Diceros bicornis minor: one gene and its partners. The protein of the gene in region 4 purifies or fractionates together with the protein of the main gene of each other region. This does not show direct contact. Links are inferred from orthologs where the notes say so. Each region holds a gene or a part of one and is shown on either strand. Other genes may lie near its edges.

Region 1 (7,980 bases), on a different chromosome or scaffold from region 4:
CATTCAAGCCCATGACAAGTATGTCTGATTACCTCTATCTCTTCTCCTTGTGCCCCACCTTCAGTCAAGATTACAGACCTAAATGAATGATTACAAGGCATCTACATTAACAACAGAGGGTGAAAGGGAAAGGAAAATTGAGGAAGCATCTGACATCAGAGGGAGAACTGGGAAACCCCAGTGGGGAAAGGATTGATAATGCTTCCAGGCAACCTCTACCTATAGAGCAGGGCAGGATGGGAGGGGCTGTGGAAGGGAGACTAAGAGCTTACCCAGAAGGTCTCATGGCCATGCTGAGAAAGCATGCATGTTAGCAGGGAGAGGGAATAGATCATAGGAGAAAGGGGGGGACCCACCCTTACTCCAGTTTCAGAGCTCAGATAGGAGGGGGCAGGGCAGGGGGCAGGGGGCAGTGGCAGTGACCAAACGGGGAGAACAATGTGATAACAGAAGGACTGAAGACAAGCAAGATGTGAAATTCTCATGTTGGGAAATCTGCAGTGGAGGAGGCAGGGATAAATAACAAGAAGGGCTAGCAGCAGTAAGGGGAAGGAGGCAAAGGCTCCTAACACAGGGAGAGAGCAGCCCAGAACAAGGGGCAGGGTGGGGCAAAGCTGCCAGGAGGGCAGCATCGAGGTCCAAGAAAACGCCCTGGACCCCAGAGAGAGCTGTGTGACCCCAGGGAGTGTGAGAGGAGTTGATAACAACAGGAGGTGCCGACAGCAAAGAGGGAGGGCAGGCATAGCTTGTAAGCACCAAGCAGGTGTGACTGCAGAGGGATGTGCTAAGAGAGTGAGGTCTCATTTGTCACCAGGAAAGGAACAGGACAGTGGCGGGCAGCTGGGGAGGGCCTGGCCCCTGCAGCTGGAAGAAGGGAAGTGTTACTACAGGATGCAGTGGTGGAAGGGTGTGAGAGGAGCAGGGAGGTGTAATGACAGTAGGCCCAGCCCAGCTCTAGGAGAAGAAACCAAAGGCCAGCTGCCCTGGCGGCCGGGAAGGAGAGCAGCTGGCAGAGTGTGAGCAAGGGTGAGGACTCCAGAGGTGAGCTCAGATCCAGAGGATGTGATGTGGTGGGGACCTGGGCCAGGGGGCTGGAGCATCTGAGCAGGGCTAATCTGAAGGGGGTGCTGGTCTGCTAAGTCCCTGTCCCTGGAACCCAACAGGGCAGCAGACGCCCTTCTAAAGGCAGTGGCAGCCAGCAGTGTCGCCGAGAAGGCTGTGGAGGCAGCTCGAATGGCCAAACTGATAGCCCAGGACCTGCAACCCATGTTAGAGGCCCCAGGTGAGGCGTGGGCAGCCTGGGGCGGGGGATGGGCCCCCTGGGGAGCTGGAGAGGCTCTGGCATGGAAAGGGGAAGGGAATCCCTGCAGGGCACTTGGGATGGAAAAGCCAAGGATTGAGGGTCCAAGGGGACGGAGGGTGGGGGCCAGGCCCGGTTGTTTGGAGAGTGGACCTGGGAATTTATGAAATAGGGCCAGAACGACTATGGGGTTGCGGTCTTGCAATGAGAGGCGGTAACCCTGGGGACACTGAAGTCCTGGGAGGCGCCCAGACAGGGGATAAAGCTGTAGCTTTGGCAGCCCAAGGCCAGTTAGGCCCCTCTGATTCTTAGCTATCCCTGCCCCAGGCCACAGACCCAGGCAGGACTCAGAAGGTTCCGACACAGAGCCCTTGGATGAGGACAGCCCTGGGGTGTACGAGAATGGACTGACCCCCTCAGAGGGCTCCCCTGAACTGCCTAGCAGTCCTGCCTCCTCCCGCCAACCCTGGCGACACCCTGCCTGCCGGAGCCCACTGCCTCCTGGGGGGGACCAGGGTCCCTTCTCCAGCCCCAAAGCTTGGCCTGAGGAGTGGGGGGGCCCAGGTGAGCAGGCAGAGGAACTAGCTGGCTATGAGGCTGAGGATGAGGCTGGGATGCAGGGGCCAGGGCCCAGAGACGGTTCCCCACTGCTCGGAGGCTGCAGCGACAGTTCTGGAAGTCTTCGAGAGGAGGAGGGGGAAGATGAAGAGCCCTTGCCCCAGCTGAGGACCCCAGGGGGCTTGGAGCCTGAGCCCGGGACCACACCAGTCCCGAGGGGCCCGTCCTCAAGGGGTCCTGAAGCCAGGTGCCTGATGGAAGAGCTTGAGGAGCATGCCGCAACCGAGAGGCCTGCCCAGCCGGTGAGACACTCTCCATCCCCATTTTGTGCCCTCAGAGTCTCAGCTCCTTTCTGGCCCCTCTTCCCAAAGCCTTGCCTCTCCTTCCATCCAGGCCTCTGTCTGATCCCCTGGGGCTTTGATCTGGGCTCAGCTTCCTCTCTGCCTGCCCAGTCCTGGCCCATATCCCACCTCAAAAGAGACCTTCATGTCCAACGCCCTCATTTGACAGATGGGGGAACTGAGGCCCAGAGCATTTGAAGTAACTTGCCCAAAGCTACAAACTAATAATTAACGGTGGAGCCAGAACATCTTTCCCTGTTCTCCTTCCATATCATTTCCAACTCCCAGTTTCCTACTCCACCCCCACCCCCACCTCCACCTCCACACTTTCTCTCTTTGGTGCCCAGAAATAAAAAAGGAAAAGCTTGTTCCCTCCCTACCCTGACTCTCCCTCCCTCTCCTGGGAAGAAGGGAAATAGGAAAGGCAGCAGAAACCCAGGAGGGGTGGAGATTCTCCAGAATCCTCTACTCTGATTGGACTTCAGGTCTTCTCCTGTTTCCTAGCAACCACATCCTCATCCCTCATCCCCCTCTGCTTTACTGCAGTACCGGCTGCTGCTGCCAACAACGTCTGCTACTAAGGCCAGGCACCTTCTGCCTGGGCCACGTGACATGCTGGTGGGAGAGGAGTGGAGAGTGGAGGGAGGAAGGGCTGTTCCTGACTTGAGGGAGCCAGAGGGAAGGTGGGGCCCTGCCTGGGAGAAGAGGGGTGTTTTGCAATCCAAAACAAAGGTTGGAGATCCCCCCACGCCTGGCACTGAGGAGAGGGGCTGTGACCATTCAGCTTTGCCACTTCAGCCAGGGCAGGAAGGTGGGACCTGTCGTTGGACCTGGTCCTCGGGGACTGAGGCTGCATTTCCCCCTCTCTCTAGGGAGCTGCCAACCCCCTGGTGGTGGGAGCCGTGGCCCTCCTGGACCTCAGCCTGGCGTTCCTGTTCTCCCAGCTCCTCACCTGAGGCTCCTGCCCAGCCTAGCCTGGCTTTGGTTGCTGCCTCTTCACTCCTTGGACCTGCCTTTTTCTCTCTTCCTCCTCCTGGTTGTTTCTTCTCCTATCTTTCTTTCTCTTCTCCCTTTCCTTCCTTTCTTTTCTGTCCCCCTTTGTTTTCATCTCTTGCTTTTTCTTCCCCTCTCTCCTTTCAGATTCTCTCATTTCCTGTGGATCTGTCTGTCGTCCTCACTCCCTTCCCCACCCCACCCCTTCTCCCTCTCTAGATTGTTTACATATGAAGGGCTTTTCTCCTCAGAGTTGCTCTCTTCTCTGAGACACACAAATCTAAGTCAGACCATTGCCCCACAACCTCCCCGCCTTTTCTTTAGACCTGAACTTCGATGAGGGTAGGGGTTTGGTGTCCTGAGGAGTCTCCTGGAAGCCAAGTGGAAAGGAGGAAGAAAATGGAGAAGGGGGTACTGTATACTGGGCAAGGCACTGGCCGAGCTGTGGTGGGAGCTGGACCCAAGGGGCCTGAGGTCCCTCTGAGGCCTAGTGAAAAGGCCAGAGGAGGTGCAGCCCCCATCTCTGACCTGGGAGGATCCTGTCTCACCTCCAAGGGTTGAGCTAGGTTCTTGCCTAACTTCATCCTTCCTTGAAGGAGATAAGGGAAATGAAAAGTAGGAGGACTCTCTAGCATCTCCCTCTTTCTCTCCTCAACAGCCAGCCCCTCCCTCGTCCAACCGGTTTGGGTGGCATGCCATGTCCAGAGCAATGTGTAAAGCAAAGCAAATGTCCAGTGCAGCCAAGTCCACCCATTGACCTCTCGCACCCTCCTCTCTCCCCCTAAACGTTTATTTGCTTGGTCTGGACTCACTTGTGGCCTTTGATTAAATTTCTAAGGGGCCTGAAGAAGACATTTCTACTGCAGAGGGTTTGAGGCACCTGAGCAAGGACCCCACTCCCCAACTCTGGCAGTCGTGGCGGTGGTGGAGGGGGCGGCAGTTCTGGGGAACGGAACCAGACTAGATAACAGGAACTCACAGGGCAGCAGAAGCTGTGACAAGTTTAGTAGTCTCTAAGTGGGTTATGTCCCTTCCCCCATCCCCATCAGAATCTTGTGAAATGGGAAAACAACAGGAGGAGGGGATCAAGGAAACCAATCTCACACACTTTCTAGGCAGGGAAGAGGTGGGCCTCAAAGCCGTTGAGAGGTGGGTGGAGAGCCCTGTTTGAGATTGTGGCTGATCCCTGGTACTAGCTTTTCCCCTGGGGGCAGGAAGCCCAAGGAAGAGGGACTGTAGGGTACCCAGGGGATCTTTCCTCCCTCCCCTGCATGAGGCAGAGGCAAGCTGCCTGCCAACCCCCTCCCTCAAGGAATGGCCTTGCCTGGGAATGCCCACCACACACATCCTCCTCTTTTTTTCTAGTCAAACTCTGTTCACTCCTTGGCCTGCATCTCTCCTTTCTCCCCTCTCAACCTTTACTTCTGATTTCTATTTCATGGAATTTGGGATTGAAGTTAAACTACAACAGTGCCGCCAACACTAAGTCTTGCAGGAAAAAAAAATACAAAGAAATTTAACAAAAAAAATATATTAATAAAAAACTTCAAAAAAGGGGGGGATTGTCATCTCCTTTGGGGTGCGATGGCTTCAAACCCAAGCTCTCTGAGGCTCTCCGGGTGCTGAGAATGTTCGAGGAGCCCTCTTGGGGAAACCCCAGGCCTGATAGACAGTCTCGCCGCCCCTATGCGGATCAGAGCTGCTTCCCCTAAACTCCAAAGCCAGAGGCCTGAGGTCAGAGGATTCAAGACGTCTCAGCAGGGAGGCCCAGGAAGGGCGGGGTCCCGTGGTGGGGGCGGGGAGAGGGAAGGACCAGACGAAGCACCAACCCCCGCCCGGCCCCGTACCAGGAAGTGCTGGGGGCAGAGGAGCAGAGTTGAGCCAGAAGCCAGGTGAGGCTGGCGTTAGGGATGGCATCCTGGTGTGGGGAAGCTGGGGCCGCCTGCGATGTGAACGGCGGAGGAGTCCCGCAAGAGAAATCGCGCAGGGCCGTGGAAGGAAAGAAATGGCTGAGCTAGGGATGGGAAACCAGGTGGAGGACGGAAGGGGGGTGGGAAATAGGCGGGGCTCCTGCGCGTGCTCAGTAGGGACGGGCTGGTTGGGGGGGGGCACGCATGCGTAATGGGGATCTCCTCGGGATGGGGGTGGAGTTCGGACACCCACGTGGAGAAAGGTAAATGTGGGCTCAGTTTTAGGGTAGCTGTGGGACCCGGGCCCTCAGGATCTTGGCCCAGGGGACCCTGGGCAGAAAGGCCATGCAGCCCTAGCAAGAGAAGGTTAAAGCCCTTTCCATTCCCGGGCTTTGACCCCCAGGATGTTGGTGCCTTCGCTGAAGCTTCAAGACCTAATCGAGGAGATTCGTGGGGCCAAGACCCAGGCCCAGGAGCGGGAGGTGATCCAAAAGGAGTGCGCCCACATCCGGGCCTCCTTCCGCGATGGGGACCCTCTGCACAGGCACCGCCAGCTGGCCAAACTGCTCTACGTCCACATGTTGGGCTACCCCGCCCACTTTGGACAGGTACTGGGCAGAGTTTGATGAGGGAGGCTAGTGGAGCAGTGTCTCAGACCCCCTCACGTATCTGTGCCCTGATTTTTTTATTTTACAAAGTTGCTGAACCCTCACAGTATACACTGCAGACCTCCTTCCCCATTACAGTCCCTGTGGGTCATCAGCTGGACTGAACCCTTCATTCTCTGGCCAGCCTCATTCAGGGTACCTCCTCCTCTCCTCTCCCATCATCCTCGACTCCTATTGCCTGGAAACTACCCACTGACTCTCGATCTCCTAAGCCCCTCCTCCTGTTGAAGGGAGGTTGATGGGATATTGTGCCCCCACAAGTTAATCTGGCATTAAGGAGGAGGATAGAAAGGGATGTTAGTGCCTCTGGTTTCAGTCCTGCCCCTTCCTGGTCTGCCCCCTTCCCTATAGATGGAGTGCCTGAAACTGATCGCCTCTCCCAGATTCACAGACAAGAGGGTGGGCTACCTGGGGGCCATGCTTCTACTGGATGAGAGGCAGGATGCCCACCTGCTCATTACCAACAGCATCAAGAAGTGAGAGGGTTCTGGGAAGCACTTGGAATCAGGGAGATGGGAGATGGGGGAACTGGGAAATCCCAAGGGGCTGCCTGCTGTAGGTACTGGGAAGGCCTGGATTTCCCAGAGCCTTGACTGACTGCCCTCCCAACTCTGCAGTGACCTGAGCCAGGGGACTCAGGCAGTACAAGGCCTGGCCCTGTGCACTCTGAGCACCATGGGCTCTGCTGAGATGTGCCGGGATCTGGCCACTGAGGTGGAGAAACTGCTCCTGCAGCCCAGCCCCTATGTGCGCAAGAAGGTGAGCTGGCAGGACTCTAGGCACCTGCCCCTCCAGAAACTGTCCCGTTTGCCATGTGATAGAGGTAGGGGGTCCATCTTGGCAGACCTCCACCCTCTCTGAGCCCCCTGACCTCTGCAGGCTGTTCTGACTGCAGTGCACATGATCCGGAAGGTCCCTGAGCTCTCCACCATCTTCCTCCCACCCTGTGCCCAACTGCTTCGCGAACGCCACCACGGTAAGGCCACCGGGCTCCCCATCCCCTGCCTCAGCTCTGGCTACCGACAGAAGTGAAAAATGGGATGGGAACACCAGCTCCTAGGAGAAGGCTAGGACGTGCACACACACGCACACAGTAGACGCTCCTGTTCCCCTGGCCCACCATTCGCTTCCCCCACCCTCACCCAGGCATCCTAATGGGCACCATCACACTGATCATGGAGCTCAGCGAACGAAGCCCTGCAGCCCTCAAGCACTTTCGAAAGGTGGGCTGGAGAAGGGGCAGGCCCTGGGCCAGGAAGAGAGGAGCAGTGGGGTTGGAGTGGGGCTGAAGGGTGAGAGGACTTGGAAGAATGCCCAGATGAGGCTGTGCCCTCCCCCCAGGTGGTGCCCCAGCTGGTGCAGATCCTCCGGACTCTGCTGACAACGGGATACTCCACAGAACACAGCATATCTGGAGTCAGCGACCCCTTCCTGCAGGTGGGCTGGCCCTTCCCTGCTGTATCCCTGGAACAGAGAGCTGAGCTGGAAACCCATGGCCGGTGGTCACCTCCCGGAGAACACTTTGGCTCAGTCAGTGCCTTAGGCAGAAGGGTGGCAGGCACAGGTCTGCCCAGGTCATCCCAGGACCATTGCGGGGAGGGGGACACCTGAAAGTTAGAAAATCCAGTTTGGTAACAATAAAAAAAAGCTTGTCCGCAAATCCCCTGGCCTCACACACCTCTGATCCCCTCCCAGGGCCCAAGGGACCTGGGGGGGAGGGAGGGGCAGGGAGCCTCTAGGGAACCAGCCAGGTCTCTCACAATGCTCTCCTTAATGGATTTTTCTCCTCAGCCCCATGACTCCTTACCCTATGAACCCCTCCACTTTTCAACCTTTAACCCAACTTTAGGTCCGGATACTTCGTCTGCTTCGGATTCTGGGCCGGAACCACGAGGAGAGCAGTGAGACCATGAATGACTTGCTAGCCCAGGTTGGGGGCTGGGGAGCGGGCACTGGTTAGGTGTGTTGCTCTATGATCCCACCAGCCCTGGGCATCCCTCACATGACCACCGACCACAGAGTGGCAGTACAGTCACGTCTCCATTTCCCTCTAGACTGTGACCTCAGTGAGGACAGGGACACAGTCTCTCTCAGTGCAATAGCCCCTGCACATAGTGGGGCTCAGGAACTTTGTTAGATGGTTGAGGGATGACATGGTGGAGACCTTCCAAAGACCTGAGGAGAGGACAGAGCCCCCTGTAGATGCATCT
Region 2 (6,952 bases), on a different chromosome or scaffold from region 4:
CCCACCCTTCTCCCCTGGGCTGATTGAGGGGCATGGCTAGCAGGCTTAAGGCTTACAGAGGGAGATTAATTACTGCTCTCGCTGCTCCAACTTCACCTCTCCCGAGTCTTCCCGGGCAGAGACTGGAAGAGCCCCAGAGTTCGGAAGAAAGAGGGGATCGCTAGCTATGGAAATTGCGGCGAGTGGGGGGACTTACGCTGCCGAAGTATTTGTCCAGGAGCTCCACATATCGGTGGATCAGCTCCAGCGTGATGAGCTCATTGTCTTGGCCCTCGATGGCGCAGCAGAAGTAGAGGCTGGCATATCTGAGGACAGGGGCACATGAGGGACAGCTGGGAGGGCTGCTGGGCCTGCTTCAGGACCCGGGCCTTCTGGGCTCAAATCTCCCATTTCTCCTCATTCCCAACTCAGGGCCTGCGCCCTACTGGACACAGGTGAGGTGGCCCCAGGGCATGCAAATAGTAACTCACTCTGCCTCTCAGGGCCTCTCACAAGCACAGGCAAAGACACAGCTCCTTCCCTCTTGCCCTCTGACCTGTTCAGTTTGATTCAGCAAAAAACCTGAGCCAACTAATCCACCTGCTCAGAGAAGGAAATAGAAAGGGGGTGTGTGTGTGTTGGGAAAAGTGGCACAGGATCTTGAAGCAAGGGACATGTGCAATGGACAAGATAGGGCCTTTGGGACAGAGGTATGTGTATGAAGTAGGTGTCAGGCTTGAGCAAAACCAGGTGGGAACAAGAGTTTCTTCAAGGCGAGTTTGGAAAGTACAGGAAGCTGGAGTTCACCGCCCTCCAGATGTCCTTAGCTCCCAGCTCTCCCTGACCCAAGGGACCACTTATTACTCAGCCATCTGAACCCACTGCCAGACCCCAATCAAGCAGGATCCAGGCAGGTCTGAAAGTAGGTGGGGAGTCACCTCTTATAGACAACTTTGAGGTCCCTCCACTCCAGGAAGCTGCACATCTTGGGCTTGCGAGCCAGAACAACCTGCATAAGCTCCCGAACCATCTTCTTTCGCTCCTTGTCTGATGTGGCCAGGTACCATTTTTGCAGCCGCAGCTTCCCCTGCCGGCTGAACAGCAGCATGAATCGCATCTGGGGGTGGGGAGGCAGAGCTGAGGGTCAGAGGTTTGGTTCTCTGAGTTTGTTTCCTCCATAAACACACAACCCCAAACTTATCCCATCTAACTCTTCTCTACTTGAAGCTCCTACTTTCTTCAAAAATCAGCTCTTGCTGTCGACTCTGAGTATTCCCACCAACAGGTGCCTTTCCTTCTGGGGGGTGTCGGAGCTTCTCAGTCTGTCATTTGGGTTTAAATCCTGGCTCTACTAGTTGAGTAATTTGCCTTGGGCAATTACTTTATGTCTCTGTTTCCCGGTCTGTAAGACCGAGATAATAAAAGTACCTACCTTACAAAGTTGTTAGGAGGGATTAGAGTTGACATATACAACAGTGCCTGGCACATGGCAAGCACTGTAACACATTAGGTATCATTGTTATTATTCGCTGACGCTGCCTTCCAAAGCTAAGTAAAATGCTTCGCATCAGCCCACAGCTGACGTCAGAGCCGTCTGCTTTCTTGCATGCTCCTTCTATATACTATGCTGAAATCGAATATTTTGTGCCTCAAGAAGCTACCTCAATCCTCCACCCATTCCAGCCATACACCCTTGCTGATGTCCCTAACACGGTGCCCTCCAATGCGAGTCCTATGCCCAGGTGTACCCTTCACCTTAGCACGTGGTATTGGGACCCCCAAATTTCACCCTCCTCTCTCCTCAGCCATCCAGGCATTTGGCCACTGATATTTTTCTCTTTTCTTCCTTTTAGGGTGCCTCCTGGTAGGCCCACACTCCCTCTCAGATACCAGAGAACCAATTTCCCTTTCAATTCCTCAGAAAGGACACAGCGATCCAGGGTGGCTCCCCTAGGGAATGTTTGTGGAACAAAGTGCAAGCTGGGTAGAGTGGGGAGGAGGGCAGAGCCCTCACTACCCCGTGCACCCCCAGCTTCCCGGTGCCAGGGGGTCCAGGACTCATCCTGGAGTTATCTCCTTCTCCCTGCAGCTCTCCTCTCCATGGACATGACCAGGGCTGGAATCCCTGGGTGTGTGGAACAGTACTAATCTAGTAAAGATCAGAATTCATGGGTTTTTTGGTGGTGTGGAAGAGGAAGCGCTCCTAGCGTGGTGGGAGAGCAACAGAGGGGCACAAGGGAGCCGTGCGTGTCTAAGATGGGGGCGGGGGGTGGGAAGCGAGCAGGAAGACGGAAGGCCTGGGTTCCGGAAAGAGAATGGGATGGGGGACGGAGAGCTAAGAGCACGGAGCCGGGGACCCAAAGCCCGGGTCCCCGAGAGCAAGACCTCGAGCCCACTTGGCTTTCCCTCCTCACCCCAGCCTCTAGGCGAGCAGGGCGATAACGCGAGGCGGGACGTCCACTCCTCGGACCCGAAAACTATCCCCTCCCACACACCGCTCTCTCCGCAGGCCGCCGCTCCTCTCCGGGCTGCAGGGGGGCAGAGGGTCTTGACGACCCCCGACCCCGCTGCCTCCCTCCGCCAACAGGCCCCCGCGCCCCTATTCCTCTGGCGACTTCCCTGCGGCAGTGGTCGGGACCCCTTGGATCTCATCCCGCGCGCTCCCCCCGGCTCGGGATGGTCCTGCCGCCCCTAATCCCACCTTTCCGCCCCACAAATGCGCCCCCTCCCGCCCCTTCCCCTCAAAGCCATTTCCAGCTGCTCTTCCCTCCGAGGCCGGCTGGCCCACCCGCCCAGGTAAGAGAGGGCCTCTGCGGACCGGAGGAAGAGAGAGCGGCTCCCACCGAGGGCGGCCCCCAAGGACCCTCGCAGGTGCAGCCCACGCCCCTCGCTTCCCCCTCCCCTCCCCTCGCTCTTCGCACAGCCTACCATCCTGCAGCCTCCGGCTCGGCGCGTCCCTCTTCGGCCACCGTAGGCGCCAGCTCCACTCCCTTTCTTATCCTTTCTCCGGCTTCCCTCCCTCTCGCTTGAAGCCCCGCCCCGGCTCCGAGGCCCTTCGCGTTGCGTACTACGCAGGCGCCAAGGCTGCGCGGCGCGCGGGCGGGGCTGGAGGCGGAGAAGCGGAAGCCTTGGCAACCAGGTCCTTGACTTCAGCTTTGAGAAGCTCTGTCGTTATGGTAACAAGGCTGCCTTGAGGGCTGGTTGGAGGATGGGGGGAGGAAGACAATGAGGTCCTCGAGCTTTGGAACCTTGGGGGAAAAAGGCGGGAAAAGGGGTGAGAGATGGATGGGACGACCGACGAAGTTTGTGAGGAGCAGAGAGGACTAACGGAAGGGGTGTGGGCAATTGAGAGCTAGCTGAGTGGGAATCGGATGTAGGGGAGGAGGAATGATGAGAAAGACCAAGACAAAGGAGGGGGGCAGATATGAGAAAAGTATGGAGCTCAAAATAGATATCTACTGAGAACCTGCTAGATGCAACACTCTTAAAGGAAGAGAAATGCGTAGGAAATGAGGGAGATGAGAAATAAAAGAGAAAAGGAGGGGCTGATATAAAAGTGATGTAAGGAAGAGGAGGAGAAGCGTGAATTAAAGCAAAAGGGGAAGAAATAAAGAAAATCTTAGAAGGTTGCATGGGTCAAAACTAAAAAGGGACAGATGTAACCCAGACACAAGTGTAAAGATGAGGAGGATGTAAATCATAATACGAGATTTTTGGCTAAGGATGTGCGTGTGTGAGTCTGTACGTCCGTGTGTGTGTCCATGTAGTAAAATGAAGGGGTTTGCATATAAGGATGAGAAAATCTTAAATTTTGTCATGCTGAAAACGTAATGGCTATTTCTAGATAATTGTTGGTAACTAATGATGCTATTGTTTTTGAGTCTCAGTTGAAGCAATTGCTGGTAAGGCCTTACCTGTCTCTAGCTGCTCTAGTTGCAAGAGGGTGGGTCTAATTCACCTGGGATGCAATCTGGTCTCTCACCCTTACTTGATGTTTAGCCTCAGGTGGGTCATTTAACCCTCCATTTCCTCATTTTAAAAATGAGAGTAGCAATACCGACGTTGCAAGGTTGTTCTGAGGGTGTATAGAAAATACCTGGCATGCTGTAAACACTTGACAATAGTAGCGGTTATCATTATTTCCGTTTCCCAACTTCTCTCCTCTACTACTTTCTCTTCTTACTTTTTTTTCCTTTGGTGAGGAAGATTGGCCCTGAGCCAACATCTATGCCGATCTTCCTCTATTTTGTATGTGGGACGCCACCACAGCATGGCATGACAAGCAGTGCATAGGTCCGCTGGGGATCCGAACCCGAGAACCCTGGGCCACCGAAGCAGAGCATGCGAACTTAACCACTACGCCACCAGGCCGGCCCCTTGGTGTTATTTTTAAGGTCAAGAATAATATCAATAAAACAAGTTGTTAGAGTTAGAAAGCGTAAATCATTACAGAGTGAAAAGAAGGAATGGAAGTGTGTAAGAAGGACGAAGACAAAACAAATGAAAAGCAATGTGCTCCTGGGGAGAGGAGAAGGTTGTAAATAAGGAAGTAATAAGCGATGAGGTAAATATGTAAAGCAGAGAGCTAGGCAACAGCCCAAGAGAGTTTGGAAGCTCAAGATGTAAATTGCTACACTCCTTGGAAAGCTGACACTTTCTAGAATTCCTTATCTCAATGTGGTATGCCTAGCTGCAGAAAAGATAAGATTCATGAGAGAATTGTTAGAAATCTGGGTTTTGTTCATGTAGAATCATAGATTTCAAGTGGTTTAAACTAGTTAGAAGACGGTGGACTGGATTTCTTCATTGTTAGTGAGCGACGAATTTAGAGAATCTCTGAGTTAGTGGACCCAACGTGGCTTGTGTCTGCAGATGAGTTCAGATTTGATGAAGTGGGCAGTTGGGGGTTGTTATGGTCATCTGAGCTGGGGAATAACTTGATGAAAACAGTTTTAAGAAAATTAATCTCATAGTAATATGAGGGACAATTCGAAAGGACAGATGGAAAACCGGAAGATCATTTAGGAGGCAGTTGTGGGAATCCGGGAACAAAGAGGAAATGGAGAGGGACAAATTGGAGAGATACCTGTAATGGACCAATCCGCAGAAGTGGATATCTCATCTAAGTGGAGAAGAAGAAAGAAGATCAAAGATGAGCCTGGAGGGTTAGTGGCGCCATATGTATAAATGGAAAAATGGAAGAGGCGAGATTCTCCTTCATAGGTGCAGATGGTGTTTGTATTGTCGCCGTACAAACCGTGCTGACACGTCGCCGAGCTTTCCCTCTTCTGGTGGTAGAGTTGGTTCCTGTGGTGGTTGGAGGGGTGGCCCAGATGGCCTTGAGCATTTCATCTATATGAGCATATGGTCTGTATTTCTCCCTCTTGTGATGTTCTCTGCAGCCACTTTTTGCACATTCTTTAGGTAGTCCGTAGTTCCTTGATGATCTTGTTTCAGTCATCTCTGTGTTTTTTTTTTTTTTTTGACTTCTTTTTTTCACTGAGCAATTAGGACCGTATCATATGCTGTTCCTAACAGTCCTGACAATTAGAATACTTTCCGTGGTAGATATTTGCCATTATTTTTCACTTCCCAGGCTCCAACCCCCCTTCCTAGGGCTTGGAAATCCCCACCTTACTAGTCTAGGGGTAGACAGAACAGCCTCCAGTGTAGCATTTGAAATTTCCAGATGTTCACTTCCGCCGCTGCCTTTGTGCCCGGGGCATGGGCATGTCTGCTAGACTCAGCCAAAAGGTGCACCGGCCCAGACTTTGATCCAGGAGGGAATGAGGTGGTGAAGGGGTGATGGAGGGTATGTAAGACTCTGGCAGAGGGTCAGAGGATCAAAACCTAGGGCACCAGTGGAGTGGCACCAATTCCAGTGTCCTGTGCCCAGTGAGAGGGTAGGGCAGGGGCACCAATGTGATTTGGGTCATGGTCTCTACTGTGAGACCTCCCTCTGGTTCCCTGGTCCTCCTGGCAACTCCCTGAGCTCCCCAGTTTCCTTTTGTGCTTCGGTTAGCCAGAGTTGGTTTCTGTTCCTGGTAACTAAGAACTCTGACTGGTAAAGTTGGTTATCATTGCCATATTGTCCATTGACCGCACATCTCAGTCAGGCTCGTCTCTCCAGCTAGAATGTAAGCTCCTCGTAGGACAGTGTCTTATTCATCTTTTGTTTCTCCACAGCACCCAGCGCTGTGCTGGTTGATTGGCTTGAGTTATGATCGGTATACATGGTTATCAACTTTAGGTATTTTAATCTTACTTCTCATCTAAAATATGCTCAATTCTAATTTTGTATACAATAGTACATTTTTAGTTCTATTATTCCTGCTAGAGGATAAACTGTCTTCTTTTGCTGTTTCTACCGTGTCTAGCACAGTGCCTGACACGTAGAGATGACCAAAATTGGTTGAATAAATGTGTACTAGATCCCCCATTTGAAGATTCCATTGTCATCTCAAACTTCACTTGCCAAAAATGAGTTACTTCCTTCCTCCCTCCCCTGAAACCATGCCATCTCATTGTGGTCAATGTCACGGCCTTTGCCTAGGCTTGTAGACTCTCAGCCTGAGACGTGAAGGATGACGTAAAAGCATAGCTTATTCAGGGACATAGGTCAGACCTGCCTGACTAGACCAGGAGAAGGCTGCATGGAGGGAGCAGTCTGAAAACCAACCTGGCGACTTGGGACTTCTTCCTCAGATGTGCCCCTTGAACCTGCCTTGCTATTATTTTTCCTCTGTGATTTTGTTCACACTATTTTCTGGAATGCTCTGCCATTCCCTCCCCACGGACCCAAATCCATCTTATTCATCCTTTAAATTTCAATCAAGCAGCTGCACCTGATGAGGCTCCACGTTCTAGACTATAGTCGTCATTTCTACCATGTTCCTTTCAATCATTTTGCGGTGACTCGCATAACGTTTCAGCTTTTTGATGTCTCTTCTGCTTAGGGACTTGATAGTAAGAA
Region 3 (7,650 bases), on a different chromosome or scaffold from region 4:
GTGTGGAGAAGGGATGGAAGGGAGTGCCTACAGGCAGGGTCCTGGAGGGGAGGCTGGGCCATGCTGTCATCTAAGAGGAACTGGGGCAGGCCACAGCCCCTGGGGACGGGGGAGGTGGCAGCTGAGGCGGGGCAGCTGGGCACACAGAGCTGCTCTGTTCTCTGACCCCACTGAAGCTTTTGAGCTCATGAATTTTTCAGCCAAACAGGCCTTAGTTTCAGATTCCATGGTGCTGGGTCCAGGCTTTGGGGTTCTATTTACTGTCTGAAAACATCCCAGGGTCCCAGAAGAAGGACCCTTTGGAGGTTCAACAGGGCCTGGCCTGGGGCGAGGGCCTGGCAGCGCCCTCAATCCCCCTGGGTCACCTGCTGAGCAAGGGGCTGGCAGGATGGTGGAGGACACCCCTCTTTTGGGCAGAGGCAATGTAAAACCTTGCACCTTGCAGGGGTGGAATTCTAACTCTGCCCCTGAGGCCTGGGTGGCTTGTACAAGTCACTTGCCCTCTGAGCCTCAGTTTTCCCATCTGTCAAATGGAGATATAGGCTTCCTTAACTCAAAGAGTTGTTTTGAGGAGGATTGCCACCTGGGAGACGGTTGGGGCAGCGCCTGGGTATAGCGAGCACACATAAGCGTGAACTATGTGTTAGTAACAGTCATACTGGTATCCGGCAATGAGCAGACCAGTTGGCAGTGGGCTGAGTCAAATTCTGACTCCACTGCCTCCCTGCTGTGTGTCCTCAGGCAAGTGGCTTCACCTCTCTGTGCCTCGGCTTTTGCCAACATAAGAAGACATGAAGGTCTTCCCCTTAGGACCTGAATTAGCAGGAAAACCATAACTGGGAAGACCAGAATCAAATACAGCAAAAAATAACAAACTTGGGGGAAAAAAAAAGACACAAAGAAGGTGGGAAGATAAGTGCTCGAGGAGAGGCCACTGCCGCTGTCGTCCTGTTCCTGTGGGTGTTAGATATGGTGCAGAGGCGAGTGGCGGTTCTGTCAGTTGCTGAGTGGCGGTTCTGTCAGTTGCTATCTTTTCACCTCCCTCCCTTGAGTCCCCTGTGGGGACGCCCAGCCCACTCCCAGGGGCTGGTAAAGGGCTGGGGCTGGGTTTGGGGAAGGAGGGGAGAGGGGATGAGGGATGAGGGATGAGGGATGAGGGATGAGGGATGAGGGATGAGGCCCACGAGGGCTGAGTGACTCCCCCTGGAGACTCCTCCCTCGCTCTGTGGAGCAGGATGCGTCCCAGCCAGGCTGAGATGGAATTTCCCTTCTCTTCCTTAATTTCCCTTCCCAAAAATTCCCTGCCTCTAAGATGGCAGACAGTTGTGGGGTGGAACCTGGTGTCCCCAGTAGCTGAGGGGCAGGGAGCTGAGACCCTGTGCCAGGCATGGATTTACGCCCAAACTCAGAGAGTGCAGCTCAAGGAGGTGACACCACGACTGTTACACCCATTTTAACAGAAGGGGAAACTGAGGCAATGCCCAATGCCTCACAGCCCACGGTGGAGTCAGAACTCAAACCTAGCACCTGTGTTCTTTTTCCCCCCAATTTTAATAATATATTTAATTTAACCCCAAATTTTTATCATTTCAACATGTAATCAATATTAAAATTATTCCTGAGATTTTTTTTGTACCAAGTCTTTGGAATACTGTGTGTATTTCTTTTTTGTTAGTTTCCTCTATTTTTATTTATTTATTTATCTATTTATTTTTTTTTAATTTTATTTATTTATGTTTCCCCCAAAGCCCCAGTAGATAGTTGTATGTCATAGCTGCACATCCTTCTAGTTGCTGTATGTGGGACGCGGCTTCAGCATGGCCGGAGAAGCGGTGCGTCGGTGCACGCCCGGGATCCGAACCCGGGCCGCCAGCAGCGGAGCGCGCACACTTAACCTCTAAGCCACGGGGCCGGCCTCTATTTTTATTTAAAATTAAAAAGAAACAAATCGAAGTTTCTCATGTCACATGCATTTCCAATGTAAACAATTTGTATTTTAAACAAGGAGTTTACGGAAGGAAACGTTTGCAGTGTCCTGGTCTATTTCCATTAGGAGGTTTTATTTTCTAAATTAAACTCCTTTGTCCCCGTTGGTAAGGGAAACATAGTTACAAGGCAGAAACCCAGAATTTTTTCTCGCAGCCACAAGCCAAAATGAGAAAAATGCATTTTATCTTCAAGAACAAAGATTTAATATGGTTTTGTTTTTCGGTTTGGGTTTTTTTTTTTTCCCCCATTTGATTTGGTTCCCTGCCTTAACTTTTCCTAGCTTTAGGAATTTTGTTGCTAATTCAGCAGCACCTGTGTTCTTTTTTCTTTTTCTGAGGAAGATTGGCCCTGAGCTAACATCTGTTGCCAATCTTCCTCTTTTTTTTTTTTTCCTTTTTTCTCCCCAAAGACCCAGTACATAGCTGTGTATCATAGTTGTAGATTTGTAGCTCTTCTATATGGGACGCCGCCTCAGCGTGGCTTGATGAGCCATGAATAGGTCCGTGCCCAGGATCCTAACCGGGGAACCCCAGGCCACTGAAGGGGAACGTGTGAACTTAACTGCTGTGCCACCGGGCTGGCCCCTGCACCTGTGTTCTTAACCACCACACAGTAAATAATAACAATAACAAATAATAATAACAGGAGGGTCGGCCGCACCCCACGCACTGCTCTGAGCACCACGTTGTGTGTAGTAACTCATGCCATCTGCGCTGTAATTAATTAGGAAAGTACGGAAATTAACCGTGTTTAACAGATGTGCAAACCGACGTCCAGGGAGGGGAGGCCAGGTCCCCAAGGCGGCGCAGCTCGTGGGTTGCAAACCCAGGACTTGAGCCCAGACAGCTGGCTCTAGAGCCTGCACGCTCAACTGCACACATCTAAACAACAGCAGCAAAAACAGTATCAGTACCAGCTTTGTGCCAGGCTCTGCAGAGACTCCTTCTCTTGGATTGTCCCGCTCATAAGGTCGTGGTGGAAATTTTTCAAATGTCGGCCTCGTCTCTGAGTTCCATGCATCACAGCCCCCCATTCATTCTCCAGCACACACCCCCAGCCCACTGTCGCCGGTTCAGCTGCCTGCAGTGTTCCCATCCTCATCTGGGATCATCTTGTTTTGGGGTTCTTATGCTGTGTGTCTCCCGCCCTCCCTAGAACGAGAACAGTGGAGTGGCTTTGCCTATGTCGCCATCCACAGCGCCACAGAGGATGCTCAACAAATATTCACTCACTGAATGGTCCATCACCAACAGTATCAATTGTCATCAGCACCACAATGAAAGCAGCTTTCACATGTCCCCTTCAGCACACAGTAGGTGCTCCATAAATGTTGGTTGAGTGAATAATATTATGATGATTATAGTCATAATCATAATGACCATTTATCTTTTCAACAGTTGCTCAACATCTCAGTGTCACGTTATAGAAGCTTATAAATGTTTTTGGAGGGAATGAATAAGAGTAACATTGGGAATAATGATACAAGCAGTTACACTGGGGCCAGCCCTGGTGGCATGCTCCACTTTGGCGGCCCGGGTTCAGTTCCTGGGCATGGACCTACACCGTTCTATTAGCAGCCGTGCTGTGCTGGTGGCCCACATACTAAAAAATAGAGGAAGATTGGCACAGATGTTAGCTCAGAGTGAATCTTCCTCAGCAAAAAAAAAAAAAAGCAGGTACATTGGTTCTTCTCAGAATGCTACCCACAATTCCTGAGTGAAAGAATTTACTAGAGAGTATTTGAGTGAAAGAATAAATTAATCAGTAAGTATTTATTGTATGAATGAATGAATGACTTGGACAAATATTATTGAGTGCCCAGTGGTGGGCACTGGGGACATAGACATGATCAGGACAAACCCTGTCCTATTGGGGCGGACGTGCATGTGGGAGAGACAGAGGAGAAACAAGATGAATGGATGGATGGATGGATGATGGATGGATGGAGAGATAGATGATGGATGGATAGATGAGGGATGACGGATGGATGGATGGATGGATGGATGGATGGATGGATGGATGGATGGGTGATGGATGATGGATGGGTGGATGGATGGATGGATAGATGATGGATGGGTGGATGGATGGATGGATAGATGATGGATAGATGATGGATGGATGGATGGATGGATAGATGATGGATGGGTGGATGGATGGATGGATGGATAGATGATGGATGGGTGGATAGATGGATGGATAGATGATGGATGGATGATGGATGGATGGATGGATGGATAGATGATGGATGGGTGGATGGATGGATGGATAGATGATGGATGTATGATGGATGGAGGGAGGGAGGGATGATGGATGGATGGGGGAGAGATGACGGATGGGTGGATGGATGGATGGATAGAGGATGGATGGATGATGGATGGATGGAGAGAGAGACGATGGATGGATGGATAGATAATGGATGGATGGATGGATGGATGGATTGGTGATTGGTCTGGAGTCTCCGTCCACCAGCACTCCTGGGCGCAAAAGGAAAGTGAGGCGGAGCAGCTGTCGCATCCGAAGCTCCGCCCCTCGCAGCCCCCGCAGCGTCTTCTCGTCGGCCGACAGCGCCGCTCACCTGGCGGCCTCCCCTTTAAGACGCGCGCACCTGGGCGCACACCTGCGCGCGGGCGCTTCCGCAGGAAGAAGGAAGCAGCGCCGCCGTCTCCAACCGGCGCTCCCTCTCCGCCTCCCAGGTCCGCCGGCCGCCACCATGTCCGCCTCGGCTGTCTTCATCCTCGACGTCAAGGGCAAGGTGAGGCTGGGCGCGAGGGGAGGGGGGACGGACAGGTGAGGCTGCGCCCCCGCGGACTCAGGAGCGGCCCCTCCTCGCAGGCGGGGAGGCCCCAGAAAGCCCTGGGCACGTGGGGACATCCCCTCCCCCAATCCCTGGGAGTCCCGGGTCCAATCCCACCTCCACTGTTTACCTCTCTGAGCCTCAGTCTCCCTCTCCGTAAACAGGGGAATACAAGGGTCCCCACTCAAAAAGAATTAATACCACCCGATTCGTGTCAGTCACTTTCCACCGTAGCCCTGCTGCAAACATTTGGCGTTTATTCAACTGAAATTATGTTTACCATCGTCACCATCCAAAGTCTTAATATTGCGGGAAGATAGAGGGGCAGGGGACCCTAATTCCCCTTTGGGGCTGCCCCGTCCGTTTCTGGAACCCTCTCTCATTCATCTGGTCATTCAATAGCAATAATAACAGGGGTGGTGAAAATAATATTCCTGATAATAATAATGGTGACAGCTAAGGTGTCTGCGGACCTGCTGCATGTCTTCTAGGTTCTAAACACTGGACTAAACAATATCATCAGGTGGGTACTATTATTATTGACTGCTTACAGCCTGCCAGGCGAAACTATAGGAGCTAAAAGAGATATATGGGTATAATCTTTCGTTTCTCTTTCTATAATCTTTCCTCCCTCCCTTCCTTCCTTCGTTTATTCAATTTCCAGTTTCCCCAATTATCATGGACACGGTTCGTGCCTCAGTTTCCCCATCTGTAAAATGGAGATGTTAATACTATCTGCCTCACAGGGTGGTGGTGAGAACTAAGACAGTCAGCAAACATCCAGACTTCAGTAGAACACGGCCTAGACCTCAGGGAGGGCTCTGGACACGTTAGCTGTTGTTATCACGTACCCATTTTACAGAGGAGGAAACTGAGGCCCAAAGAGCCGGAGCCTGGCGGAGGGCCCTCAGGTGGAGGGTCCCCGGATCCCGGTGGTGACCGGGCCTTCTCCGCCCACCCGTAGCCCCTGATCAGCCGCAACTACAAGGGCGATGTGGCCATGAGTGAGATCGAGCACTTCATGCCCCTGCTCATGCAGCGGGAGGAGGAGGGCGCCCTGGCCCCGCTGTTGAGCCACGGCCGCGTCCACTTCCTGTGGATCAAACACAGCAACCTCTACTGTATCCGGCCGCGCGCAGGGGCCCTGGGGGCCTGGGTGGTGGCAGCTCAGGCCCAGAGAGGGTGGGCTGAGGATAGGAGTTGCACAGCACATCAGTGGCTCAGGCTGGGGATTGGAGGGGGGCAGGGTGGGGATTCGGGGTCTGTGCTCCCTCCGAGCCCTCCAAAATGGCACCTGTTCCTTAACGTCGCTGCCCGCAGTGGTGGCCACCACGCTGAAGAACGCCAACGCCTCCCTCGTGTACTCCTTCCTGTACAAGACGGTGGAGGTAGGTCCCGGCCTCCCATTGGCCGGCTGATCTGTCTGTCCACTCGTCTTGCCCGCCTCTTTCAGGATCCGTTTCTCCCGGGAAGCTTCCCCGGGCCGCCCTGGGGGGCCCCCATCAAAACCCCATCACTGTGTTCTCATCAGCTGCCACCGGATCATCTCTCCCTACAGGGCAGGGACCAAGGAGGTCTCCAAGGGGCTATACTGCTCAAATCTGAGCCCGAGGGAACCGGGTTCCGATCCCAGCTCCCCTGCTGCCTGGCTGTGTGACCTTGAGCAAGCCACTTCCCCTCTCTGTGCCTCAAAACTGGGAGTTACAACAAGTCCTGCCTCGGGGTTGTTATACCAATTAATCAAATTCATATCCATAAAGTGCCTAAAACATGCTCAGTATACACTAAGTGCTCCATAAAGGCTTCCTATTGTCAGCATTATCACCAATGTTATACTGTCTCATGACAATTTATCGAGCACTTGTATGCCATTATCGATGACGGAGAAAGTGCTCAGTAATGACTTTTCTTTTTTTTTTTTGGTGAGGAAGATCCACCTTGAGCTAACATCCATGCCAATCCTCCTCTTTTTGCTGAGGAAGACTGGTCCTGAGCTAACATCTGTGCCCATCTGCCTCCACTTTATGTGGGACGCCGCCACAGCATGGCCTGCCAAGCAGTGCGTCAGTGCGCACCTGGGATCTGAACCTGCAAACGCTCGGGCCACCAAAGCGGAGCGCACGCACTTAACCATTGTGCCACTGGGCAGGCCCTTCAGTAATGACTTTTCAACGAACAAGAAATATTTATTGATTTGTCTCCTCTCTGCCAGGCAAAGGGGGGACACAGCAATGCATAGGGGACTGTCCCTGGCTGTCCTGAGGAGTGAAAGGGCATGATGGAGATTAAACAGGACATTTTCCAGTGGCTGGGATGCTGGTCTCATGGTGATACTTATGGGGGTTGGGGGGATGGTGGTGGCCTCATTGAGGGGTGACATTTGAGCTGAGGCCTGAATTCCAAGGATCCTGTGAGCAGAGTGTCCCAGGCAGAGGGGACAGCATATGCAAAGGCCCTGGGGTAGGAATAGAAAGCAGGCCAGTGAGGCTGGAGCAGAATGAGGGATGGAGAGTGTTTCAGATGTTGGATGACCGACAGGTTCTCTGCTGTGGTTATGCCTGCTAATTCCCAGGGGCTCTTAACTCGAGGTCCCCAAACTCCCAAGGGCCTGAGGATAGAATTCAGGGAGTCCATGATCTTAGATGCATTTCTAGATAACAGATTTCCTTTGCCATCCCCTGTATTTTATTTCATGCCTTCACAAACCTTATTCCGAGGCGGGTCCAGAAACATCACAGATGCACAGGAACCCACGGTCCACAAAACACAGTTCTGTGCCCTTCCAGTCCCTCCTCCAGGGCAGGGACGCTGTTGGTTTTGTTCACCATTAATGTCCGGCACAGGCATACAGTAGGCGCTCAATAGTT
Region 4 (7,894 bases):
CATTATGATCAGTGCCACAGGACATCAAGGAGGGGCATCTAGCTCAGGCCTGCAAGGTGGAGGGGATGATCGGATGGGAGGCACCAAGTAGTGGTCCAGCAAAGAAGTGTGGGGTGGGGTGTGTATGTGACATGAAATGGTGTTCAGGCAGTGAGAACAGCACAAAGCAAAGACACAGAGGCATAACGAGTTAGCACTTTGTAGAAAAGCAGCTGAGTTTGCTTGGAGCTTGGGAGGAGGTAGAAGTGTGGAGCAGGAGAGATAAGGCAGAAGAGCCAGGCAGGGGTCAGAGCCCAAAAGGCCTTGAATGCCATGCTAAGGAATGTGAGTTTTAGCTTGAGGGCAACGAGGAGCCACTGATGGATATTCAAGCAGAAGTTTTTTTTTAAGGATTCTCCAACTGCTCAAGTGGTATTTTCTCTCTGGAGTTATCTGTTTCTCTCCGTGTGAAGAGAAAAAGAACACAAAAACCATTTCTGGGCTGTAATAATTTATAAGTAACCTATCTTAGACAAAAAGACTTGTGCAGAAAAAGAAACATCTTCAAGTTATAGATGTTCCCTCAGCTTTCAGGAATACACCAAAGTGCAAAACCCATACCCAAGCCATGTTTGCTCAGTGTCAGCACATCAGGCTTTGGTGCCAGGCATGCGGGTTTTCTGGGAAGTGAGCAGTCAAGATACGCAACAGTTTCAGAGGACGACTAGAAAAAGATGAAAGTCCAAGCCGAAAGCCAGCAGGACCAATGGACTGAACTTGTTCTGACAAACTTTTAGGAAGTGAAACGAGAAGGGTGGGAGAAGTCCTGTGTACACAAAGGTCTCTGTCTGCGGAAGGAAGTAACACCCCACAAACCAGGGTAGACAGCCTTCCTCAGACATAGACCCTCAGCAGGCATCAACTGCCTACGATCAAGGCTCCCACCGCAACATTAACAGGCTCTGCACAAACTTCCTCATCTAACCCCCACACGCACCAGTGTTGGGAGGAGAGGGGGAAGGTGGTGATCATTATTTTAGAGCTGAAGTAGAGGCCCAGTCTAAGCAAGTTGTCCGGGTCCCACTATCACGAAGCTGCTGAGCTGGGATCAGAACCCAGGGCTGAGCGAGGGGGAGAAAGGGAATCTTTTCCGTGTACCTCTGAGCTCTTCAGGTTGCTCAGGGAGAAGCCTCTGCTCAACCCACACTCAACAGATAATCTCTACACAACTTCTGAGGGATCTGATTCTTTGAAACTAGTGAAGCTGCTCTTCACGTCAGTTTTTAAGAGGTCGAGGAGCCTGGTGGGCTCAACTCAGGACAGGGAGCCAGATGCTCTGAGCTCTGCTCACGTTCCTACCATTTGTGACAAGTCGCTTCATCTCAAATCCTCCCTTGGAAGGATGGGGATAAGGTGACAATATTAAGGTTCTGTGAATTCAATGGAACTAGGAGAACAGATCATAGAGTTAAAAAAAAAAAAGGCACTACAGTAATATTTACATCACAGCTTTCTTCAGAAGCACGTGGAAACCTTCGCGAGTTCATTAAGGCTTACAACACCCAAGAGTGGGTAGGAAGGCAGCAGGTCTCCCTTGTGCTGCTCTCAGGGAAACTGAGGCAGAACTGGAGCTAGTGAATGTCTGCAAAGGAATAAGGCTCAGACTCACAGAACCTAGCCCTCCGGCCATCAAACCACCTCACCACCTCCCAGGCAAGATGTGCTTTCCCTAGCCAAGAAGCCATGGGGCCTGCACTTTTCTCAGAGAGACACAGACCCTTCCCTTGAGAACGTCCTTCAAGAACCTAGGGCTACAAGAGCCCCTAGAGGTCATGTGGTTCTTCTCTTCAATCCAAAAGGAATGCAGCTCAACTACTCTCAAGAGAGGTTCTAGATACTCTCAAATTAGCTTCATGGATAGCCTGCTTTGTGTCTCACAGTTCCCAATAGTCAGGAAAAACTTCCACGCTTGCCCTGAAATGTAATCACTTACACCAACAGCCTGCAGGATTGTTTCATCCTAAAGAAAGTGAGTCAAATGCCCCTTATGAAGACTAGACGAGAAGCAATAAGCCTACATCTTTACACAGATGCAAATACACATAATGGCTAAAGATATTAAATAGCCCCTTCATCCCAACCTTGCTCCAGCCTCTCTGCTGTCTCTGCACTTTGCTGGTCTCTGCAAGCAAGGGTAGAAACCCTGGTTCTTGTCTATACTACCTGATTGACCTTATACGTGTGATTTAACCTCCCTGTGCCTCAGTTTCCCCGTGGATAAAATGGGGATAACAACCGTAGCTACCTCACAAGGGCTGCTGTGAAGTTTAAACGTGGCACTGTACTAAAGCGCTTAGCACAGCGCCTGGTACACAGTAGGAGCTCAACACGCAGCAGCTGGCATTTTCGTCGGTGTTTTTAGCATTATTACAGGTGTCCCCAGCTAACTCGTCCGTGGGGCGCCAACGGACAGACCAAGCCCCAGCGTGCCGCGGAGCAGGCGGCGCAGGGCTGTTTCTTGCAGTTTTTTTTCCTTTTCGAACCGTGGCAGAGAGATAAGGCCGGAACGAAGAGGCCCCAGGGGATAAGTGTGAAGGGGAAAACCGGGACCGAAGAGGAGCTTCCCCTGCGGCCAGGGGCGGGCTCCGCGGGGCCTAAGTCTAGCCGTCTCTCCGGGAGGGCGCCCAGGTGGGGCTGCGGACCTGGGGCAGCTGGGCTGCGGGCAGCGGCCAAGCGGGTGCGAATGAATGAACCCGCAGTCCTTCAGCTTCGTCGGGGCCCGGGAAGCCTCTCTGGCCCCTCCAGCCCCACGTCCTCTCCGTGACCTCTGACCCCGCAACGCCCTCACCTCAGACCCCCGCCTCCCCGCCCCACTTCTCCTCCAGCCTCGTCGAACTCCCCGCCTCCTCACCCGCAGGTCCGCACGGCTCCCGGCGCCACGGCGCGGCGCGGCGCGGCTCGGCAGGAAAATGTCCGCGGCCTCCTCCCCCTGCTCTCCCGGTGCGCCCGTGCCGCCGGCCGCTCCAGCCCCGCGGCTGTCACCTGCCGGGCGGAAGTGAGCTGCCCGCGCGCGGGCACTTCCGGTGGACGCACGGCCTGGGGGCGGGGTCAAGGGTGCGACCCGGGCGGGGGTGGTGGTGCCCGCGGGGCGGGGCCGACCGGATTAACCCCTCCCCGGCCGCGGCGCTGCTCCGCCGCTGTCTCCCGCAGCGTGGTTAGGAAAATTAGCCTGCTCACCGCTAAGTAATTTCGCGTGATGGAGATGGAAAAGGTCGTGGAGACTCTGAGGTCCATCTCCCTTCTGTTATAGACGGGAAAACTGAGGCTCTGAGAGGGGCAGGATTTTGCTCAAGATCACTTACCGTATGAATGGAAGAGTCAAAACTCGAGGTGTAAATCTAGTCTAGCGCTCCCTGCCCTTCAGTGCAGCCCTTTGGGTATTCCACGTTAGAGGGGAAAACATCGCACTCTCCAAGAACTTCACAATATCCCATTTCTCCTTTTGCTGGGTCTGCCACGACTTCAAGTGCAATAGCCATCTCACTCCCGGCTCTGGTACTATTAACTTTCTTCTCCTTCTAGATAATTTTTGATCATCCCCTGTAAAACATTATTTCATTGCTACTCTTTAAAAATGTTTTACTAGGAAAATAATATTTGCATTGTAGAGGAATGGCAATATACTAGCAAGCAAAAAGAAGATAAAAAATCATCTGCAATCCCACCGCCCCGAGACAATCATTTTTAATATTTTGGTGAATATCCTTCAGGACTTGACATATCATTCAGTATTTTTAACTCACCAAGATGTTGGTAAAACTTTCCCAAAACAATAAATACATTTCTGTTTGGTGCTTTCCAATACCTGCATGGTATTCCACTGTATGGATGGTATCACTGTTCTCAAAAACAATCCCTACAGTTGTACACTTAAGTTGCTACCAATCTTATAATATTATAAAACTTATTAATAAATAAGCTTGCAAAGCCAAGTCTGTATGTCCTGTCTAATCTAGATATTATTGTTTTAATATTCAATGTAGTTTTTATATGTTTAACCAGACTCAAATCCTTTTTATAAAAGGTTTTATTTTTAAATCATTATAGACTTACAGGAAATTGCAAAAATAGTACATAGGGTGCCTTCACCCAGTTTCCTTCAGTAGTGACATTTTATATATTAGTAGTATAACATCAAAACCAGGAAATCGGCATTGGTATAATACCATTAACTAAATTTACAGACCTTATTCCATTTTTAAATCCTTTTCTGAAGTAGGCAGGAAACAAATAGAATGATTTTGTATGCATGTGTCATGTTCCACATGCTATGCACAGCTGTCTGGAGAAACCACCTTTCCCTAATGATCAATGTTGGCAAATGCCATCAGCCTCAGTGAAAAACAAGATTTCACTAGGAATGTAACATGGAAAGAGAAGGATTATCTAACAAAACAAACCAGCAAACCTAAAGGTACCAAGCTGGAGAGCTTATGTGAAAGTGGCAAGTTGGTGGTAAAAGCAGTCAGAGCTTTAAGAGTTCCAAGGAGACAGAAGTCACAGCGTCAATTTGCTCAAGAAGGATGTTCTGGGGAAGGTGGCATTTATGCTAGGCCTTGCCCAGTGAGGACAGAGTTGCAGAGGCTGAGATGGAAAGAAAGGGCAAACCAGAGAGATCAGTGCAGAGACAGGAAGGCAAGGGAGCCAGACGTCTGGGTCCTTCAGAAAGCATTTCCCAAGCCCCTGCTCTGAACCAGACCCTGGGCTGGGTGTTGGATAGTCACACAGGTGAGGCAAAGGCCCTGTCCTTGCTGAACCATCAGTTTGTCCGGGGAGGGTGACAGAGCAGCAGGCACAAATGTGGTTGGTGCTGTGATAGGGGAGGTATTGGGGACTATGGGAGTCCAGAGGAGGCACTGAAGCTCCCCCTGGGGTTGGAGGGAGAAGGGGAGGTGTGGACAAGTAGGGGGCATTTAATATGAAATTGCAGAACAGCAATGGATGTTTATGGAGCACCTGTAGTGTGCTAGGTGGTGCACAGGGGGTCTCATTTGCTCCTCACATCAGCCCCATTTTATTTGGGGAGTGGAGGGGAGCTGCAACTCCAAGAGCTGAAGTCAAACAATGTCCGAGTGGCAAAGCTGATGGTCTGGTCCCAGAGCCACAGCATACGTGCTCTCATAAGTCCCACTCATTCACCTAAAATATGTCTGTCCCTCTTACCTGAGCCAGCCATATTGGAGATACAACAGTGAACAAGATGTGGCACAACCTCTCCTTGGGAGAGGAACAATTAAAGGGGCAATTATAACACAGCCCAGAAGGACCAGGGGTGTGCAGGAGACTTGGGCACCAAACTCATCCTGGGAAAGTCAGGGATGGCTTCCTGGAGGAGGTGACATCCAGCAGGAACTGTGAAGGATGATATTACTACTACTAATAGTTACCATGAAGAGTCACTGTGCTAGGCTCTTCCCCATATTAACTCACTGAACTCTCTCAACAATTTGGGGTTCCATGACTGTCCCCAAGTAAAGATAAGAAAACTTAGGCCAGTGGGCAGAGCTGATTTTCCTCACTTCCCTGTAGGCCTTGGCCTCCTCTCTCACAGCTCAGCCTGGCAGAAGAGCTAAAAATATAATACTAATAAGAAGAGGCACAACTCAATGCCAAAGGCTGAATAATTACAGCTTGCAGAGGTGGGAGATGGAAGCAGGGAAGCGGGGCTTTCAGGGGGCTTCCCTCTCTAACCCCATCTCCAACCCAGCTGGCCACACTGCCTGAGTCACACTCACTGTCCAACACTGTCTAGAAAAGTCCCACCTGGGGCATGTGTGGCCTGCCTCAGACCTCTGAGCCCCTGGCCCAGGAGGAGCTCTTTGCTCCAGGATGGAGCAGAGCCAGTGATGGCCAAGCCCACTTGGAGAGAGAACAGACTTGTCCCAACAGATATACCATTACTAACAGTAACGTCACCTCCTGATTGGAGGAGGAAGTTTTTAAACTCTTCTCCAAGTCCTATTCATTTTCTACCCTGCCCTATTGAGCTGGCTGATGATGGACAGGCCTGTCCACCTCTTTGGGCCTCAGTTTCTCCTTCCTGAGAACTCTGCACCCAACATGTGCCAAGCACCATTGTATGCCCTTGACACCCATCACTTCATTTAACCCTCACTATTCCCAAGAGGTGGGCACTATGGAACTCCCACTTTACAGATGAGCACACTGAGGCCCTGAGAAGCTGAGGAACTTTTCCAACTTCAGGAGGCAACAATGGACCAAGCTGAGAGGCAAGGCCAGAGCTGAAGACTGCAGGGCCCATGCTTTCCCCCTCATCCCACCCTTACCTGCCTCATGACGTTTAATACAATCAGAGGGAGGTTGGGAGTTCTTGTGGTGTCAAGAAATGACCGGGGACCTGCTGACACACAGAATCTCAGAGCGTGTCTTTCCCACCCTCCATCCACACGGGTGCCTAATAAATACACGTTGAACAAATTGTATTTTTTTTCCATCTATGCCCACTAGAGGGCGCACTGGTGATATTAACTGCCCCTGACCTTTCGGTGTAAATGTTGCACAGGCAGCCGATAGCATGCCTTTCTCCGTCCCAACCTTCTTTCTAGATTCTTCTTCTTATCGCTATTACTCTACTTCAATTTATGTTTGCTTGCTGTTTTTGTTGTTTTTACCTTACAAACTTCTAAAAGTTGCCTCAGATCCTTTCCGGAAGGAGGCAGGAGTGATTTTGTCTGTAGCCTCACTGACACCACCAGCCCCACACCTGCTGAGGGTGGGCAGCTCCATATCCTTCCCGTTCGGGTGGAACCTGGCACAGACTCCAGGGCAGAGGGGCCTAGAGGCTGCCAGGGACCTCTCCTCTGCCTCCATTCTTTCCTGCTGCAAATGCTCTCATTACACCATCCCTGGTCTTCCAAGGAGCAAAATTCTGCTCACTCCCCTGTGGCCCCAGTGCTGCCATAGGCTGCCTCTTGAAGGGCTCTGCTCTCCCTTCTCAGGTTCCCCTGAGAGGGCTGAACCGCCCTCCACTGGTGCAATCAAAAAGGCCCAAGCTCTGAACCACACCCGGGTTCAAATCTTCAGCTGGACCCCACTTTCCAGCTGATTGGGCCTCCATGCAAAGTTGCTAAAGAGATTAAATTGTAGAATTTATGTACAGTGCCTGGCAACCTATAAACCCTCCTTCAATGGGAGCTTTAAAAATTATTTAAAGGCATAAATTGAGGCACAAAGAAAATGTCAATAAACTCCAATAGAGTAGAATTGGAGTTCATACATCAGTCTTTGATCACAATCTAAAAAGCTAGAAATCGGGGCCGATCCTGTGGCTTAGCGGTTAAGTGCGTGCTCTCTGATGCTGGCGGCCCGGGTTCGGATCCGGGGCGCACACCGACACACCGCTTCTCTGGCCACGCTGAGGCCGCGTCCCACATACGGCAACTAGAAGGCGGTGCAACTATGACATACAACTATCTACTGGGGCTTTGGGGGGAAAATAAATAAATAAACCTTAAAAAGCTAGAAATCAATAATAAAATCAGAAAATGGACCCTACACCTGGCAAATAAAACACTCTTTAAATTTAGTTATTTTAGTTATTTAACTATTAGTTAAATAGTTTAACTTTAGTTATTTAGTTTACCTTTTTAGTTTATCTAAATATTTAGTTCAACTATTTAGTTAGCAGTTTAACTTTAGGTATTTAACTCCTGAAACTTCTGGGTAAGGGAGTGAATTCAACATGTGTATGTAACTCCACACCTTTCTGAAATGCCACTAAAACAAAAGAAAGGGAATTTTAGAATTTTTTTTATTGAGGTCATAATAGTTAAAACATTGTGAAATTTCAGTTGTACATTATCATTTGTTAGTCACCATATAAATGTGCCCCTTT

The links.
Region 1: the proteins of AP1B1 (region 4) and AP1G2 fractionate together in Homo sapiens (co-fractionation; 3 studies listed by BioGRID and IntAct, with this or other methods). This does not show direct contact. The link is inferred for Diceros bicornis minor from reciprocal best matches to the Homo sapiens genes AP1B1 and AP1G2.
Region 2: the proteins of AP1B1 (region 4) and AP1S1 fractionate together in Homo sapiens (co-fractionation; 6 studies listed by BioGRID and IntAct, with this or other methods). This does not show direct contact. The link is inferred for Diceros bicornis minor from reciprocal best matches to the Homo sapiens genes AP1B1 and AP1S1.
Region 3: the proteins of AP1B1 (region 4) and AP1M2 purify together in Homo sapiens (affinity purification with mass spectrometry; 3 studies listed by BioGRID and IntAct, counting the BioPlex papers as one, with this or other methods). This does not show direct contact. The link is inferred for Diceros bicornis minor from reciprocal best matches to the Homo sapiens genes AP1B1 and AP1M2.

What each region holds. Positions count from the first base shown.
Region 1 is NC_080744.1:24,297,331-24,305,310, forward strand, and holds the start of AP1G2 (AP-1 complex subunit gamma-like 2), read left to right. Parts: upstream 1-4,979; 5' UTR 4,980-5,084; intron 5,085-5,343; exon of another isoform or gene 5,344-5,365; intron 5,366-5,505; 5' UTR 5,506-5,506; coding exon 5,507-5,710; intron 5,711-6,121; coding exon 6,122-6,246; intron 6,247-6,387; coding exon 6,388-6,529; intron 6,530-6,649; coding exon 6,650-6,746; intron 6,747-6,916; coding exon 6,917-6,993; intron 6,994-7,111; coding exon 7,112-7,207; intron 7,208-7,619; coding exon 7,620-7,700; intron 7,701-7,980. Other genes in the region: JPH4 (junctophilin-4), read left to right, coding at 1,164-1,282, 1,628-2,160, 3,072-3,155.
Region 2 is NC_080765.1:4,793,657-4,800,608, forward strand, and holds the start of AP1S1 (AP-1 complex subunit sigma-1A), read right to left. Parts: upstream 3,009-6,952; 5' UTR 2,911-3,008; coding exon 2,908-2,910; intron 2,452-2,907; exon of another isoform or gene 2,394-2,451; intron 1,097-2,393; coding exon 918-1,096; intron 306-917; coding exon 197-305; intron 1-196. UniProt on the Homo sapiens protein: Subunit of clathrin-associated adaptor protein complex 1 that plays a role in protein sorting in the late-Golgi/trans-Golgi network (TGN) and/or endosomes.
Region 3 is NC_080769.1:8,687,648-8,695,297, forward strand, and holds the start of AP1M2 (AP-1 complex subunit mu-2), read left to right. Parts: upstream 1-4,645; 5' UTR 4,646-4,699; coding exon 4,700-4,741; intron 4,742-5,747; coding exon 5,748-5,904; intron 5,905-6,103; coding exon 6,104-6,171; intron 6,172-7,650. UniProt on the Homo sapiens protein: Subunit of clathrin-associated adaptor protein complex 1 that plays a role in protein sorting in the trans-Golgi network (TGN) and endosomes.
Region 4 is NC_080774.1:23,055,641-23,063,534, forward strand, and holds the start of AP1B1 (AP-1 complex subunit beta-1), read right to left. Parts: upstream 3,004-7,894; 5' UTR 2,891-3,003; intron 1-2,890. UniProt on the Homo sapiens protein: Subunit of clathrin-associated adaptor protein complex 1 that plays a role in protein sorting in the late-Golgi/trans-Golgi network (TGN) and/or endosomes.